Linked DNA regions of Sus scrofa. The protein of the gene in region 1 interacts with the protein of each later gene in a biochemical or structural test. Links are inferred from orthologs where the notes say so. Each region holds a gene or a part of one and is shown on either strand. Other genes may lie near its edges.

Evidence for each region.
Region 2: the proteins of RXFP3 (region 1) and RLN3 form a complex in vitro, tested with the Homo sapiens proteins (2 studies listed by BioGRID, with this or other methods). The link is inferred for Sus scrofa from reciprocal best matches to the Homo sapiens genes RXFP3 and RLN3.

What each region holds. Positions count from the first base shown.
Region 1 is NC_010458.4:19,947,353-19,951,804, forward strand, and holds the start of RXFP3 (relaxin-3 receptor 1), read left to right. Parts: upstream 1-1,543; 5' UTR 1,544-3,314; coding exon 3,315-4,452. UniProt on the Homo sapiens protein: Receptor for RNL3/relaxin-3. Binding of the ligand inhibit cAMP accumulation.
Region 2 is NC_010444.4:65,149,858-65,154,448, forward strand, and holds RLN3 (relaxin-3 precursor), read right to left. Parts: upstream 3,080-4,591; coding exon 2,887-3,079; intron 852-2,886; coding exon 622-851; downstream 1-621. UniProt on the Homo sapiens protein: May play a role in neuropeptide signaling processes. Ligand for LGR7, RXFP3 and RXFP4.

The DNA.
Region 1 (4,452 bases):
CTAAGAAAGCCCCTCTTTTAATTTTTCCATAAGGTAGATCCTTAGGGATCCACATATAAGTGGACAACATTGTCAATTTTCCAGATTTTCCATTAGGAATTTATATGGTAAGATTTTAGCAATGTTTTAACAGTAGACTTAAATGAAATTTGGCTGGGACTAATATGCTTCTCCCTCTGAATCTTTTAGATGCTGTTTTAGAAAAACACGGTCCATGCTTTAAGGTAAACGAGTAAAATATCTTTAGGTCATGTGGGAAAAGAATTTTTTGAAAAAGGATTTTTTGCTTCAATAAGACAGGCTTAGTTGAGCGATACTATACATTCCTGCACAGGATCTGCAGTTGATTTTCAGACAACAGATTGGGAAATGAAGAGCATTCGAGGCTCGGAAGCACTCCGAAAGTGTTCTCTGGGCGTCACTCTTGGGAACAGCCTCTCCTGGGGTCTCACTGTGAGTCTTGCTGGCCAAGAACTCAAGGCCTGGGAGACCTCAGGAGCACATTGTAGGAGTCCATCCTACAGTGAAGATGTCACTGTCAGGCCTAGATGTGATTTTAAAAAAACTCAGCAAGACCTCTTTCTCTTCCTTTGCTTCCGATCTTACTGTGTAATTGACCATCATGGGACATTGATTCTTCTTTGGGACTTAAGTTATTTCACGTGGAGAGTTAGGAAAGGAATAAAAGTTAACCCAGAAATTCCCAAACTTGGGAGAAAATTGGTATCATCTGGAAGAGGGTTGCTACAATGTAGATTGTTGGGCCCCTTTCAACTCCACTGAGAAGCAGAACCTCTGCAGTTGCATGGGGCTGGGAAGAGAGCTGCAAATTATATTTCAGCAAGCTCCCCACCTGCTCAGCACCTATCCTCAGACTATTTGAAAATCACAATTCCTCCCATGTACGCACAAAGAAAATGAGGCAAAGGGCTTTCCATGTGTGCCCTAGACTTCCTTGTTTTTCAAGGAAAAAACCTTGACATTTTTTTAACTAAAGGAGAGATTAAAAAAAAAAAAATTGTTTGAGAAAGAGCTAGCAAAAACCGGAGTGAGGAGTGAGCTTGAAGATGAGACTACTATGGGAATGGGGTTCACAACCTATGTAATGGGGTTCGCAACCTATGTAATGGTTCAGAGCAAGGCTGAGCTTCTCCAGATTAGAACTGCAGGAGGGCTGTGGTTTGGTTTGGTTTTCGTTTTTATTAAAGCCCTGGCGCCCTCCAGCGGGCAAGCGGAGCAGTCCAGAGACTACAGTGAAGTGTGTTCTCTGGAACTGTGTTCTCATTTAAGAATTAAGATTGTTCATTTGTGATAGAGCATGATAGAAGATAATATGAGAAAAAGAATGTGTATACATCTATGTATGTATATGTGTGTGTGTGAGACTGGGTCACTTTTCTGTATAGCAGAAATTGACAGAACATTGTAAATCAACTATAATAAATTTTTACAAAAATTATTCAAAACATAAAAAATAAAAATAAACACATAAAAAAGAATTAAGATTGTTTCCATTTCCCTTCATATGTTTTGGGTACCACGTTTCTTTTTCACTATGGTTTTTTCTCTCTTATGCCTTAAAGTCATAATCTCTTTATCTCTCTAGGTAGAGTTCCCAGTTCTGCAGGAATGAGGACAATTATGCTTAAGATACTCTTGTTACAGTTTCGTCTCAGACAGTGAGGAGAACATTTCAAATTTCTTGAGTTCATCCTAAGAAGTGTACATGTTACACCAGAGCAGTTGATCTGGCACTTAAATAAACTGCAATTTAATACGTCTCAGACAGTGAGGAGAACATTTCAAATTTCTTGAGTTCATCCTAAGAAGTGTACATGTTACACCAGAGCAGTTGATCTGGCACTTAAATAAACTGCAATTTAATAAGTAATTCAAATGGTTTATATTAGCTCCCCTTGCCCAAAGGAACTAAAAAGATTCCTTGGAATTTACTTCATTGGTCTAAACCAACCAAACAAACAAAAAACACCTGTTAAAGAGTTTTGATTATAATAGTGTTGGAAATAAGGGGCTGGTGGTCCAAAGACAGCCCTATGAAATTCTCTATTCCAACTGCATCAAGGTAAAGAGAGTGTGGTGGTGAGTAAGCAGTAGGTTGAAGAACTCTGGGCTGAGAGCTAACCATCTCTTGTCTGTGAGGTTGGTGCACCGACTATACGCTCTGCTTAGCTTCAGTTCTCAGAATACATCTAGGCAGAGGGCAACACCTGAACCCAGAGTTCTGTTATGTGAAGACGCTTTGAAAATCCTGACAATCCCAGGCACCGATTAAAGTGATCAGCTAATTAATAAGGGGAAGTGGGGCTGGCGTTTGTGTATTCAACAAGAGCCCACGATCTGATTTAAGGTCTGGGTATGAAAAGAAGCCACTATCTTCGTTTTTAAAAGAGAAAAATGGGCAGAAGAGCGTGCATTTGGGAGTGAGAAAGAAAGAATTCTGCTTGCTCTGTTTGGCAATAAAAGCGATCGCAAATCAAAGCAGACTTTCTTCAGTCACATAGGTAAGTAAAGGGTTATGACCATTTCCTTTCGAAACTGAAGAGGAAAAGGGAAATTGGCAGCTGTGCTTTGCCTGCTATGCAACACCACCCCCCTCCCCCGCGGCGGACGCGGCGAAGTTCAGCACCTCGGAAAGCGCCCCTTCTGGCTGTGCTGGGGATGACGCATGCTCCTTGGGAGTCCGCAGCCTGGGCTCTGCGAGTGGGGATATAACTCGCGGGAACGCCGCTGACAAGTCACTGGGAGTTGACAACAGCGGAGGGACCGAGACACGAGGCAGAGAGGGCAGCATAGAAAGACCTCCAGAGAGTCAGAGCCAGGTAGACGAAACTCTCTTCAGAAACCTCATCTAAGCAGCTGCGGAGGAAATCGACAAAGGTATTTGAAAGGCAAGGGGCGGGCCCTCAATAGCCTTCTCGAGCGGCGGGGTGGGATGCGCTCGTGCCTAAGTGACAGCGGAAAACGCAAGGAGGAAAGTCTGAGTTTTACAGTAGGGACCCGGAGACGCCAACCTTGGCTGGACGCCGACTGCTTGCCTTAAGAACTCTGCTCCTCTGCTCTCGAATTCCGCTCCCGCACAGACGCTGAGCGCAGCTCCCGCTCCCAAGGCCAAGCTCCGCGCGCCGAGAACGCGCCTGGAGCCCAGTTTCTAGGCGCTCTGTTCCGCGGCTGCGTTAAAAGCCTCAACGCACGCCGGGACCCCGCGAGAGTTGGTTTCCCTTAGGTCCTATCCCTGAAATACGACCTAGAGGCACCTGCGCAGGCAGGTGGCCACTGCAGTCGCAATAGCCACTATGAACAAGGCGGCTGGCGGGGACGAGCTTGCAGAACTCTTCAGTCTGATCCCGGACCTTCTGCAGGCGGCCAACACCAGCGGCAACGCGTCTCTGCAGCTCCAGGACTTGCTGTGGGAGCTGGGGCTGGAGTTGCCGGACGGCGCGGCGCCAGGGCACCCCCCGGGCGGCGGCGGGGCAGAGACCGCGGACACCGAGGCTCGGGTGCGGATTCTCATCAGCGTGGTGTACTGGGTAGTCTGCGCCTTGGGGCTGACGGGCAACCTGCTGGTGCTCTACCTGATGAAGAGTAAGCAGGGCTGGCGCAAGTCCTCCATCAACCTCTTCGTCACCAACCTGGCGCTGACAGACTTTCAGTTTGTGCTCACCCTGCCCTTCTGGGCGGTGGAAAACGCCCTCGACTTCAAATGGCCCTTTGGCAAGGCCATGTGTAAGATCGTATCCGTAGTGACGTCCATGAACATGTACGCCAGCGTCTTCTTCCTCACCTCCATGAGCGTGGCGCGCTACCACTCGGTGGCCTCGGCTCTTAAGAGTCACCGGACCCAAGGGCACGGCCGGGGTGACTGCTGCGGCCGAAGCCTGGGGGACAGCTGCTGCTTCTCAGCCAAAGTTCTGTGTGTGTTGATCTGGGCCGCGGCCACGCTGGCCTCGCTGCCCAACGCCATCTTCTCCACCACCATCAAGGTGATGGGCGAGGAGCTGTGCTTGGTGCGCTTCCCAGACAAGTTGCTGGGGCGCGACAGGCAGTTCTGGCTGGGCCTTTACCACTTGCAGAAGGTGCTGCTGGGCTTCCTGCTGCCACTGGGCGTCATCAGCCTGTGCTATCTGCTGCTGGTGCGCTTCATCTCCGACCATTGCGTGGCTGGGACCGAAGGAAGTGCCTCAGCAGCTGGGGGAGGCCTGGCCGGAGCCAGCGCCCGAAGACGCTCCAAGGTCACCAAATCAGTGACCATCGTGGTCCTATCCTTCTTCCTGTGTTGGCTGCCCAACCAGGCGCTCACCACCTGGAGCATCCTCATCAAGTTCAACGTGGTGCCCTTCAGCCAAGAGTACTTCTTGTGCCAGGTATACGCATTCCCTGTGAGCGTGTGCCTGGCGCACTCCAACAGCTGTCTCAACCCCATCCTCTACTGCC
Region 2 (4,591 bases), on another chromosome or scaffold:
CACACACACACACACATACACACGCTGCCAAGTACTTTGGAACTTTTATTTGGGGGGTTGAGGAAGATTCTGATCCGTACCCCTCCCCCCACCACTGAGCCTCCACCCCAGGAAACGAAGGGAACCTGAGGTCCCTCTTCCAGGCTTGGGGTCCACAGCTTTAGAACCCAGGCTGGGGTGGAGGGAGGGGCCTGGAAGGCTTCGGGGAGAGAGGGGGCAAAGGCTAGAATGGGGCGGGAGTTGGGGGTGGTATAGTTTGGGCTGGCGAGGGGACAGTGGCCACAGCTGGGCCAGGGTCTCAGTGTGGCCACTTTGGGTAGAGCAGGGGCAACCGTTGCAGCAGGAGACAGTACAGGCCAGGAAAGGCATGAGATGGGCTGGGGAGAAAGGGTCCCCATGTGGCCAGGTAGGGGCACAGCCTGCTCAGGGTCAGGATAGGCTGGCCAAAGGTCAGGGTTGGGTGGGAGGACTCTATTCTGAGCCCATAGTGCCTGAGCTCTGTGACTTGCTGATGAATGAATGCATGAGGGGCTAGAAACAGGTGCCCACCTGGACACCCATTAGGTGGACAGCAGAGCTGGGACATTCACTCTGGTTCTCCATGGCCACCTGGTCCCCTGTCTAGCAGAGGCTGCTGATTTCACTCTTGCTGCACCCCCACTTGCAGCAGTTGCTGGAGAGGCCAGCCAGGACATCACGACTGCCCCTAAGAGCCCCAGGGGTTCTCTGCCAGCCTGGTTGAACCCCATAGAAGGTCTCAGGGGACTTGGTCAGGGCCAGCCATTCGCTGGAGGCCATTGCCTCGTCCAACTCGCTGTCTGCGTTGGAATCTGTGTCTGAGAAGACATCCCCTGCAAAAAGATGAAAAGAGTGAGTGCTTGGGATTCAGCTCAGGCCACACTCAGAGTTCTGGCTCCTGGCTGGTCCAGCCACTTCTCTGTTCTTGTGACTCAGCCTGTTAGTTAAAGATTTTTTTGTTTTTGTTTGTTTGTTGTCTTTTTAGAGCCACATCTAAAAAGAAAAAAAATTGTGGCCAATGACATGGCCCCGTGGGACAAGGACAGGTGCAGCTGGGCCCCTGGCAGTGTCCTGGAGGCTCCTAGCAGCCTTGGGGTCCTCAGGGAGGACTGGGGGGTGGGGGAACACAGGGCTTAGGACAGTGACTCTTTTTTTTTTTTTTTTTTAGGGCAGCACCTGTGGCATATGGAAGTTCCCAGGCTAGGAGTCAAATTGGAGCTGCAGCTGCCAGCCTAGGCTGCATCCACAGCAACTCCAGATCCGAGCTGCGTTTGCAACCTATACAACAACTCATGGCAACACTGGATCCCCAACCCACTGAACAGGGCCAGGGGTTGAACCCTAATCTTCACGGATACTAGTTGGGTTCATTATCACTGAGCCACAAGGGGAACTCCCAGTTAAAGATTTTGATGCCACTGGTACCTGGGTTCCAGCTTTGATGGGCAGCTTACTCGACCTCACTGAGCTTGGCTTTCTGCTTCAATCATTTTCTTTCCCCTACTATTTATTTGTGGAGGACCTGATGGTTAAGAACATGTGTTTGGGAGTTCCCGTCGTGGCACAGTGGTTAGCAAATCTGACTAGGAACTGGGAGGTTGTGGGTTCGATCCCTGGCCTTGCTCAGAGGGTTAAGGATCCAGCGTTGCTGTGAGCTGTGGTGTAGGTCGAAGATGTGGCCCGGATCCCAAGTTGCTGTGGCTGTGGTGTAAGCCAGTGGCTGTAGCTCAGATTAGACCCCCAGCCTGGGAACCTCTATATGCCGCAGGAAGCAAACCCTAGAAAAGGCAAAAAAAAAAAAAAAACATGTGTTTGAGAGCTGAACTGACTAAGCACCAATCCAGCCTCTCTGAGTGATAACCCTGAGCAAGTGAATTTACTTCTCTGAGCTTAAGTTACCTTGTCTGCAAAGTGAGGATAATAATAACTCTTATCTTCTAGGATCTCGTACCCAGTAGAAGACTCAATACCCATTAAAAACAAAAACAAAAACAAAAACAAAAACAAAAAAAACGGAGTTCCCATCGTGGCACAGTAATTAACGAATCTGACTAGGAACCATGAGGTTGAGGGTTCAATCCCTGGCCATGCTCAGTGCGTTAAGGATCTGGAATTGCTGTGAGCTGTGGTGCAGGTCGCAGACACAACTGGGATCCTTCGTTGCTGTGGCTCTGGCATAGGCCAGCGGCTACAGCTCTGATTAGACCCCTAGCCTGGGATCTTCCATATGCTGTGGGAGCGGCCCTAGAAAAGGCAAAAAAACCCCAAAAACAAACAAACAAAAAAACACTTAAAACAGTGTCTGGCACATGGTAAGCACTCAACTGTATGCTACTCTGTCTTGCCTCACTTTTGCCACTTAACACCTGCAGGATACAGGGCCTGTGCTCCTATTTGCTGTTAAAGAGGATCAGGGAGGGAAAGCAAGTTGGTAGGAGGGTCACCTACTAGGTGGCAAATCTAGCCTTGGATTCATCACATCCCTCACACTACCTTCCCCAAAGGGTTGGAAAGCACTTTAGTTTCCGCTTCTGAACGGCACATACCAGGGTTTTGCAAACAGCAGCCTTGCCTAATGCAGGGCTCACACATAGCAGGTGTTCCAGAAAGAGTAGCCTGTTCTCTGACTTTTAGCTAGGGTGAATGGCTTGCTGTCCCCACACACACACCACCCCATCCCAGCTCCTCTGCTCTGCTAATTGGCTCCTCCAGCCTTGGCACAGCTTTGAGGGCTTGGCTGTCTCCCCAGTTGCATGTGGAGGGAAGGGACTCTCTTGCTCTTCATCTCACCTCCCTTCCTGGCTCCTCGGACCCTTGTCCTGTCTCGTCCACCCCCCTTCCCCACACACATTACCTCCCCAGCCTCACCCAGAGCTTCATGGGCCAGCATGTCCGACCGTCTCCACCGGGAGCCCCCGCAGGTAAAGATGACCGCTCGGATGAATTCACGGCCGCAAAGCTTCACTCCATAGGGTGACGCCCGGGCCTCAGTCCTCAGCCACAGCTCCCCAGCCAGCACCCATACGGCCAGCAGCAGCAGCAGCAGTGGACGTTTGGCCATTCTGGACGGGCTGCCTGAGATGTGAGAGTGGACGCAGCAAGGCAGCTTTCTGATGGTTGGTGCCTCCTGGACCCCCATTTATACATCTTAGCTCCCCCCACCCACCATGGAAGAGCCAAGTGACCTCCTTTATCTCCTCCTGCAGAGGGAAGGCGGCACAGCACCCACCCCACCCCGACCTTTTCCATCTCCCAGACCAAGCGATAACCTTTCGCCAAGGATGGGGTGACGTGGTCCAGCACACTGTCATTTTCAACAGAGAGAGGCGAGAAGGTCTCCATTCAGCAGAGACCAGGAACCCAGACCCCCATCAGACCAGAAGAGGGGTCACAGCCAGCCCCCCATCACCACCATACTGCTAGGGTCCCAGGGCCTCCTCTATAGTGACAACAACAGTAAGTGCTTACGCAGTATGCACTGTGGGAACTTCAACCTATGCCACAACTTGTGGCAAAGCCAGATCCTTAACCCATTGAGCAAGGCCAGAGGCCAACTTGAATTGGAGGGCTTGTTAAAACACAGATCTCAGGAGTTCCCTGGTGGTTCAGTGGGTTAAGGATCTGGCATTGTCATTGCTGTGATTTGGATTCGATCCCTGGCCCAGGAACTTCCACATGCTATGGGTGAAGCCAAAAATAAACAGAAACAAAAACAAACCATAGATTGTTGGGCTCTGACTGCAGAGTGTCTGAGGATCTGCCTTTGTGACAAGTTTCCAGGCCATTCTGATGCTGCTGGTCCAGAAACCACACTTCTGAGAGCCACTGGACTATGAAATCAAGACTAAGATTAAATCCATGTTACAGATGGGGAAACAGAACAGTGACACAAGGTGCTCAAGATCAGCTGGTAAGTGGAGGTGGGAGTTGGGGTTAACAGAACCTCTGGCTCCAGAATCCACACTCCAAGCGAAAGTTTTTAAGGATTAAAGAAAAAAAATGTTTTGGGGACAGAGCTTCAGTTTTGCAAGATGAAAAGGGTTCTGGAGGTAGATGGTAGTGAAGGTGGAACAATGGTGTGAATGGACTTCATGCCACTGGATTGGAAGCTTAAAATGGTTAAATGGTACATTTTATACTATGCATTTGTTACCTTTTTTTTTTCTTACCACCCTGAGGCATATGGGGTTCCCAAGCCAGGAATCAGATCTGAGCCGCAGTTGTGACCTGTGCTGCAGCTGCAGCAACACCAAATCCTTAACCCACTGCACCTGGCCAGGGATTGAACCTACGTCCTAGTGCTACAGAGACACTGCCGATCCTGTTGCTCCACTATGGGAACACCTATTATCACCATTTATTTATTTATTATTATTATTATTATTTTATTTATTGTTTGTTTGTTTGCCTTTTCTTGAGCTGCTCCCGCGGCATATGGAAAATCCCAGGCTAAGGGTCTAATAGGAGCTGTAGCCACCAGCCTACGCCAGAGCCACAGCAACGCAGGATCCAGGCTCACAGCTCACAGCAACACCGGACCTTTAACCCACTGAGCAAGGGCAGGGACTGAACC